Macaca mulatta: one gene and its partner. The protein of the gene in region 1 purifies or fractionates together with the protein of each later gene. This does not show direct contact. Links are inferred from orthologs where the notes say so. Each region holds a gene or a part of one and is shown on either strand. Other genes may lie near its edges.

The links.
Region 2: the proteins of TCTN2 (region 1) and TMEM231 purify together in Homo sapiens (affinity purification with mass spectrometry; 3 studies listed by BioGRID and IntAct, counting the BioPlex papers as one, with this or other methods). This does not show direct contact. The link is inferred for Macaca mulatta from reciprocal best matches to the Homo sapiens genes TCTN2 and TMEM231.

The regions. Positions count from the first base shown.
Region 1 is NC_133416.1:131,132,268-131,136,079, forward strand, and holds the end of TCTN2 (tectonic-2), read left to right. Parts: intron 1-2,003; coding exon 2,004-2,129; intron 2,130-2,263; coding exon 2,264-2,352; intron 2,353-2,876; coding exon 2,877-2,986; 3' UTR 2,987-3,699; downstream 3,700-3,812.
Region 2 is NC_133425.1:70,906,775-70,910,686, reverse strand, and holds the start of TMEM231 (transmembrane protein 231), read left to right. Parts: upstream 1-1,404; coding exon 1,405-1,543; coding exon of another isoform or gene 1,544-1,637; coding exon 1,638-1,807; intron 1,808-3,912. UniProt on the Homo sapiens protein: Transmembrane component of the tectonic-like complex, a complex localized at the transition zone of primary cilia and acting as a barrier that prevents diffusion of transmembrane proteins between the cilia and plasma membranes.

The DNA of each region.
Region 1 (3,812 bases):
AAAGCCATGTGTAAGAGAGTCTGCAAGGTATTTTAGGGAGTACAAAGATGAATAAAGGGCTACTTATTGCTAAGTACATTTTGAAATCCATGAATGTAACTGATATGCTGGTCAGATAATATTGTCTGTGGTTAGAGACTTTGGCAGCAGATAGGTTCAAATCACGGCTGTCCCACTTAGGAGCTGTGCGGCACTGGCCAATTACTTAACCTTTCTGAGCTGTAGTTTCCTCCTCTGTAATATGGTGATAATACCTTTATGTAACAACCCTCTATCAGATTTTTTTTTTTTTTTTTTTTTTTTGAGATGGAGTCTTGCTCTGTCTCCAGGCTGGAGTGCAGTGGCAATATCTCTGGTCACTGCAACCTCCGACTCTGTGGTTCAAGTGATTCTCCTGCCTCAGCCTCCTGAGTAGCTAGGATTACAGGCATGTGCCACCACATCCAGCTAATTTTTGTATTTTTAGTAAAGACAGGGTTTCACCCTGTTGGCCAGGATGGTCTCAATCTCCTGACCTCGTGATCCACCCACCTTGGCCTCCCAAAGTGCTGGTATTACAGGCGTGAGCCACCATGCCCAGCCTGCCTCCATCAGTTTTAAGTGACAGGTGCCCAGTTCATACTGACTGAAGCAAAAAGGGGAATTTATTGGTTCAAGTTCAGAGTAATCCACATACAGCTAGTTCATGGTTCCTGGTTCCAGTGTGGTCAGGGATCTTTTTGTTTTCGTGTCTCAGCTCCTCTTCTTTGGGTTGGCTTCATTCTCAGGGAGGTTCTCCTCAAGAGATGGCAAAGATGGGCACTAGCAATCCAGGCTGATGTCACTGCAGCAAGTCCAGTGGGGAGAAAGCCTCTTTCCTCCTCTTTTCTTTTCTTCTTTCTTTCTCTTTCTTTCTTTCTTTCTTTCTTTCTTTCTTTCTTTCTTTCTTTCTTTCTTTCTTTCTTTCTTTCTTTCTGTCTTTCTGTCTTTCTGTCTTTCTGTCTTTCTTTCTCTTTCTTTCTCTCTCTTTCTCTCTTTCTCTCTCTCTCTCTTTCTTTCTTTTTTTTTTTTTTTTGAGACGAAGTTTAGTTCTTGTTGCCCAGGCCGGAGTGCAGTGGCGCCATCTCGGCTCTCCCCAACCTCTACCTCCTGGGTTCAAGCTATTCTCTTGCCTCAGCCTCCTGAGTAGCTGGGGTTACAGGCATGCGGCACCACGCCCAGCTAATTTTGTATTTTTAGTAGAGATGGGGTTTCTCCATGTTGGTCAGGCTGGTCTTAAACTCCCGACTTCAGGTGATCTGCCCACCTCAGCCTCCCAAAGTGCTGGGATTCCAGGCATGAGCCACCAGGCCCGGCCCCTCCTCTTTCTCAAAATAGATCCGGGCAGACTTTCATTGGTTCAGTTTGGGTCATGTGCTCCTTTCTGAACCAATCCCTATGACTGGGGCAATGGGCAGCTCTTATTGGCTAGGCTCAGGTGATGGGTGCACCTCTGGATTAGGGCCAGTCCCTTCTGGTCCGCTGAACTGGGAATGGAGAGTGGTGACTCTGCAAGGGAAAATGGGAGTGCAGTTACCACCTTTGCAGTACTCTTTTGAGGATAACACGAGATGGTGTGTTGCAAGCAAGTTATCTCTGTGCCTCGAACGTGGAAAGCCCTCAATAAGTGGCTAGCTGCTGCTTTTATTATTATATCGGTTGAGAAAAACAGGTGATGAACAAAGGTACCTTTGATAGCACCTGTATAAAATGCACTGGCTGGAGAGGAGTGAGACTGACAGGACTGGCAGATGTCACCGGGCGACAGGCCCATGAGGGGTTATTAGGAGTTTCTCTTCTCCTTGGATCTGTCTGTCGAAATGGACAAAGACAATGGACAAATACAAAGAAAAAACAGCACAGGTAGAATGTGAAACTTCTTAAGAGAACCTCAGGTTGTATTGTGATTGCATCTGTTACCTGCTGTTCTTGGTGGAATAGAACTGAATGGTGGCTATGCTGACCATGTGATCTTTCCCTCCTAGGTTCTCCTCAGTGAACTGGCAGTACCAGTGTGGGCTTACCTGTGAGCACAAGGCCGACCTTCTCCCTATCAGTGCATCTGTCCAGTTTATTAAAATTCCTGCACAGTTACCCCGCCCCCTGACAAGGTACTCCAGTTGGTCACCTAGTGGACATTAGGAAGCAGAAAAATATATATTTGAAAATTGGAAGTTTATTCCTTTAATCAAGTTCTGATACTTTTTCACTTGTAGTTTTTGTAATCCTCTAAAATGTTTTCTAGATTCCAGATCAATTATACAGAGTATGACTGCAACAGAAATGAGGTGTGTTGGCCGCAGCTTCTATATCCATGGACTCAGTATTATCAAGGTAGGGTGAAACAGATTTCTATGACCAATTATGTTATGTCAGTTTTAAAAACAATTTAAAATGATGTCTAAATGTTACAGAAAGCGTAAAACATATAGAAACTTAAAAAAATTTACAGATAATATTGCCACTTGGAAGTGATCACCATTACTGTTGAGGCTTAGTTTATTTCTACCTACACTGTTTTTTTTTAGACAGAGTCTTTCTGTGTCACCCTGGCTGGAGTGCAGTGGCAGAATCTCAGCTCACTGCAACCATTGCCTCCTGGGTTCAGATGATTCTCATGCCTCAGCCTCTGGAGTAGCTGGGATTACAGCACCAACACACCGGGCTATTTTTGTATTTTTAGTAGAGACGGGGTTTCACCATGTTGGCCAGGCTGATCTCGAACTAGCTTCAAGTGATCTGCCTTCCTTGGCCTCCCAAAGTGTTAGGATTGCAAGAGTGAGCCACCACGCCCAGCCTACACTGTTATCACAAGAGTTAAGAAATACTGCTGCTTAATTTTGTCCATTGTTTTTCAGGGGAGCCGCATTCTCAATGTGTTGCCAAGGGCTTACTGTTGCTGTTGTTCCTCACATTGGCCATGTTTCTCAGCAACCCCTGGACCAGAATATGCAAAGCCTATAGTTAGACAACCACCTGGCCTTTTTTTTTTTTTTTTTTTTGAGATGGAGTTTTGCTCTTGTTGCCTAGGCTGGAGTGCAATGGCGTGATCTCAGCTCACCGCAACCTCCTCCTCCTGGGTTCAAGCGATTCTCCTGCCTCAGCCTCCGGAGAGTTGGGATTACAGGCACGTACCACCATGCCTGGCTAATTTTGTATTTTTAGTAGAGACAGGGTTCCACCATATTGGCCAGGCTGCTCTCGAACTCCTGACCTTGTGATCCACCCATCTCAGCCTCCTAAAGTGCTGAGATTACTGGCATGAGTCACCGCACCTGGCCTTTTTTGTTTTTGTTTTTGTTTTTTTTGAGACGGGGTCTCACTCTGTCACCCAGGCTGGAGTGCAGTGCACAATCTCAGCTCACTGCAATCTCTGCCTCCCAAGCAATCTTCCCACCTCAGCCTCTGGTGTAGCTGGGACTACAGATTCTCCACCACGCCTGGCTGTATTTTTGGTAAAGACGGGGTTTCGCCATGTTGTCCAGGCTGGTCTGTAACTCCTGAGCTCAAATGATCTGCCCACCTCGGCCTCCCAAAGTGCTGGGATCACAGATGTGAGCCACTGTGTCCGGTCCATCTGACTTCTCAAAGACTTTAGACCTTGACTTCAGTGATTTGTTGTAGTCTTGTATGCTTCTCTATAAAATTTTAATAAATGAAATGTCTTATTTTTGTAGAAAATTTTTATTAAGTGCCCTGTGACTTTAATTCATATATGTAGCTATCTGATGCAGAATGAATATTCTCATCACTGGCCTGACTGAGTAAAATGCATGAGAAGAACTCAAGAAATG
Region 2 (3,912 bases), on another chromosome or scaffold:
AACTCCAGACCTCAGGTGATCGGCCCAACTTGGCCTCCCAAAGTGTTGAGATTACAGGCATGTGCCACTGCGCCCAGCCATTCAGGGCCATTTGATGAAGAACTTGGCTGTGGACCATAGTTGTTTTTTTTAAAGTCCTTCTACCATGTTCGAAATATGGTTGGGGGCGGTGGGGGGTGTAAGCATTCAATTAAGCAATATGCCAGTGATCTCTGGGGAGGACCACAGCTTCCTATAAAACTCGCCGCTGAGCTTGTACCCAACACAGGGTTAACAAAGTGCATCAGAGCTTTGTAATATTCCACTCTATCCCTCCAAGAGCCAGGGGATTTGTGTTTCCGTGTCTTGTCTTGCATTGGAGCATAGTGGAAGCAAGAGAAAATCTGGGAGCAAAGACACCTGGCTTTGGTCTTAGCCCAGGACCAGGTCCAGGACCGCGGCCAGGCTTGTGACTGAGTGGATTTCAGTAGGAACTACACTGGGGATTAACAGATGACACAAAAGCAGGTGTTTGTTGTGTGCAGGAGCGCGAGGGGAGAAGAAAAGGCACACACACAATACCTTTAAGGGTAAGCAAGCTTTATCCCACGTAAATGGCAATGCAGATATTATAATAAGCAAATTAATATAATAAGCAGATTGATATAAGCAAATTGCAATGGGAAGAGGAGAAGGAAAAAGACATATATATATTTACACTCATCAGACTATGGAGGATTCACCTCCAGACTGGGAAGCAAGAGCCTGAGCTCCAGAGCCGGCCACTCTTCAGTCAGTGCCCAGATGAGAAGAGGTGTCATGAAGCTTTGGGTGGTCTGGGATCCTAGCTCTTTTTGTAACATGTTGTCTGACATGAGGCCCAGTCACGAGGGCCCTTCGTGGCTGGGCTCAAGGAACACAAAAAGGTCAACTTGTTTTTGTGATTGTTGTTTTTCAATAACTAACGTATAGGAATAGAACGAAATAGAGATTTCTGCGAAACAGCGCTGGATGAACGCCTCAAGGGGCTCCCACAACCTGTTTCGGAACTTGGTGACCATTGTTTGTGTCCATGTCAGTTCAAATTTAAATATTTAATTTTTCCTCCTCAGTGTTCAAGTCAACTTTTATGGGCATCTTATTTTACACAAATGTTAACACAGACAACAGCCACGACTTTGGTCCACGGAAACGTTCTATCGCCGCCCAGCCTTTACGCAAAGGGACACAGCTTGAAAAGCTAGGCCGGCAGTCCCCGGCGGCGCCACGCCCGCTAACCCCGCCCTCGCCGCTGGCTCCTTTCGGTCTGGCCTTGCTATTGGCTCCTTTCCGGGAGCCGTCGGTTGCCGTGGAGACCGAGGCGATGGCAACCAGGAGAAGCCAAACTTGGTCCTCCGGCTCGCGGCGTGCCGGCGCGCGGTGCTCATGGCGCTCTACGATCTCTTCTCTCACCCGGTCGAGCGCAGCTACCGCGCGGGACTCTGCTCCAAAGCCGCGCTGTTCCTGCTGCTGGCCGCTGCGCTCACGTACATCCCGCCGTTGCTGGTGGCCTTCCGGAGCCACGGTGAGCCTGCCCCAGCCGCTGTGTCACGCGACTCCCCGGGCGCGCTCGGCCGGGGCCGGCCTCCCTGACGGCCTCCCCACCTTCTTTAATTCAGGGTTTTGGCTGAAGAGGAGCAGCTACGAGGAGCAGCCGACCGTGCGCTTCCAACACCAGGTGCTGCTCGTGGCCCTGCTGGGACCCGAGAGCGGCGGGTTCCTCGCTTGGAGCACGTTCCCCGCTTTCAACCGGCTGCAGGGGGATCGCCTGCGCGTCCCGCTCGTTTCGGTGCGTGGTTCCCGCCTGGGCCTGGGGCAAAGCGGGCGGTGGGGTGGGGACGGGGACGGGAATGAGGATGTGGGGCGAGCGGCCCCGGCCCTGGGGAACCCAGCTTGGATCCTAAGGACTCGCGAACCCGCAAAGGTGGCGTTTCATCTCCTGGGACCTAGGGAATCGATTTTCTGTTTCATTCTGCTTCTCCCAGACGTCCCCGGCCCCCAGAAAGTTAGCCACGCTGTCAGCATATGCGCCCTGATACAGAGTCCAGAGGTGTGGAGGCAGCCTGCGTCTGCCCCCGTCACACCCGCGGGCCTGGCCTGATGGAGGGTGTTTGTGAAAGTCCATTTAGGAGCCTTGAAGGCAGCGCGCTGTTAATGTAGGTAACCCCATTCTGTCGCGGCGTTTCTGCATCACACCACTGTAGGAGCGGAAAGGGCGGCATTTTTATGGAGCCCTGACCCCTGGAAACCAAGGCGCTGATTGGTTAAGCGGCCTTCCCAGAACGCGCTATGGCCGAGTCACGCCTCCCTGGGTTTGTCCCATTGGAGACTGCGTCATCCTGAAGCTGTCGGGATGAAATTGAAGCATGTTACTGTCTGTAGTTTATTTATTTATTTTTAAATTTTTCATCAGTAGAGTGCTGAGAGGAATCTGTAATTTAGTATTTGCTTTGAGATAAGCGAATGCTTCCTTTATAGTCACTCCTTTTCACTCATTTTCTGAAAACGTTTTCCTTTAGAAGTATGACACTTACGGTTTTCCTTCTTTCAAAGTTGAATCTCTTCAGACATCTCTAAGATGATTGCCCTACAAGCCAACCTTGTATAGCTGAGGAGAAAAGAAAATCAGACTTGTTCCCAGCAACTAAATAAAATTGTTTTTAAAAATCCGATTGGGCCGGGCGCGGTGGCTCACGCCTGTAATCCCAGCACTTCGGGAGGCCGAGGCGGGCGGATCACGAGGTCAGGAGATCGAAACCATCCTGGCTAACACGGTGAAACCCCGTCTCTACTAAAAATACAAAAAATTACCAGGCGCGGTGGCGGGCACCTGTAGTCCCAGTTACTCAGGAAGCTGAGGCGGGAGAATGGCGTGAACCCGGGAGGCGGAGCTTGCAGTGAGCCGAGATCGCGCAAGTGCACTCCAGCCTGGGCGACAGAGCGAGACTCTGTCTCAAAAAAATAATAATAATAAATAGAAATAAATTTTTAAAATCCAATTGGTCATATAAATAACTGCAAAAAAAAAAAAGAATAGTAATAGGTTGGCGCAAAAATAATTGCGGCTTTTGCCATTAAAAGTAGTGGCAAAAAAACCGGAATTACTTTTGCAACAACCTAATATGATTCAGGTTACTTTTCTCCTGTTACTTTACGAATGTTCTTATGTTCTGATTACAAAAGTGCATGCTCATTCTAAAATAATATAGAGTTACAGGTAGATATAATGACCAAAATTGAAGGCCCAGTTTTGTATATGTATCAATACTTATTAATCAGCCATATTCTTTTTGAGGTTTGTTTTGACTTTTTCACTATTGGGGACAACATTTCTTTTTTTCTTTCTTTCTTTTTCTTCTTTTTTTTTTTTGAGACGGAGTCTTGCTCTGTTGTCCAGGCTGGAGTGCAGTGCTGCAATCTCTGCTCACTGCAACCTCCACCTCCTGGGTTCAAGCAATTCTCGTGCCTTAGCCTCCCGAGTAGCTGGGATTACAGGCTAATTTTTGGATTTTTAGTAGAGAAGGGGTTTCACCATGTTGGCCAGGTTAGTCTCGAACTCCTGACCTCAGGTGATCCACCCGCCTTGGTCTCCCAAAGTGCTGGCATCACAGGTGTCAGCCACCGTGCCTGGCCTAGGGACAATATTTCTGTGAACAAGGTTTTGACTAAATCGTATGCCTTTAAACATCAGATTGTGAGGAATTGGAATAGCAGCTCTTTGATGAAATTAGGTAAGTACATAGAAAACTAAGCAAATCATTATTAACTGCAGGGAAATGAAAAGTAAGGAAAACTGAGAACTGAAAACTTATGAGAGTTGTGAATAGGATTTACATAGTCTTAATTATATGAACACTGAATGTTGACTAAAAAGAGATTTTAACTCTGTTGGGG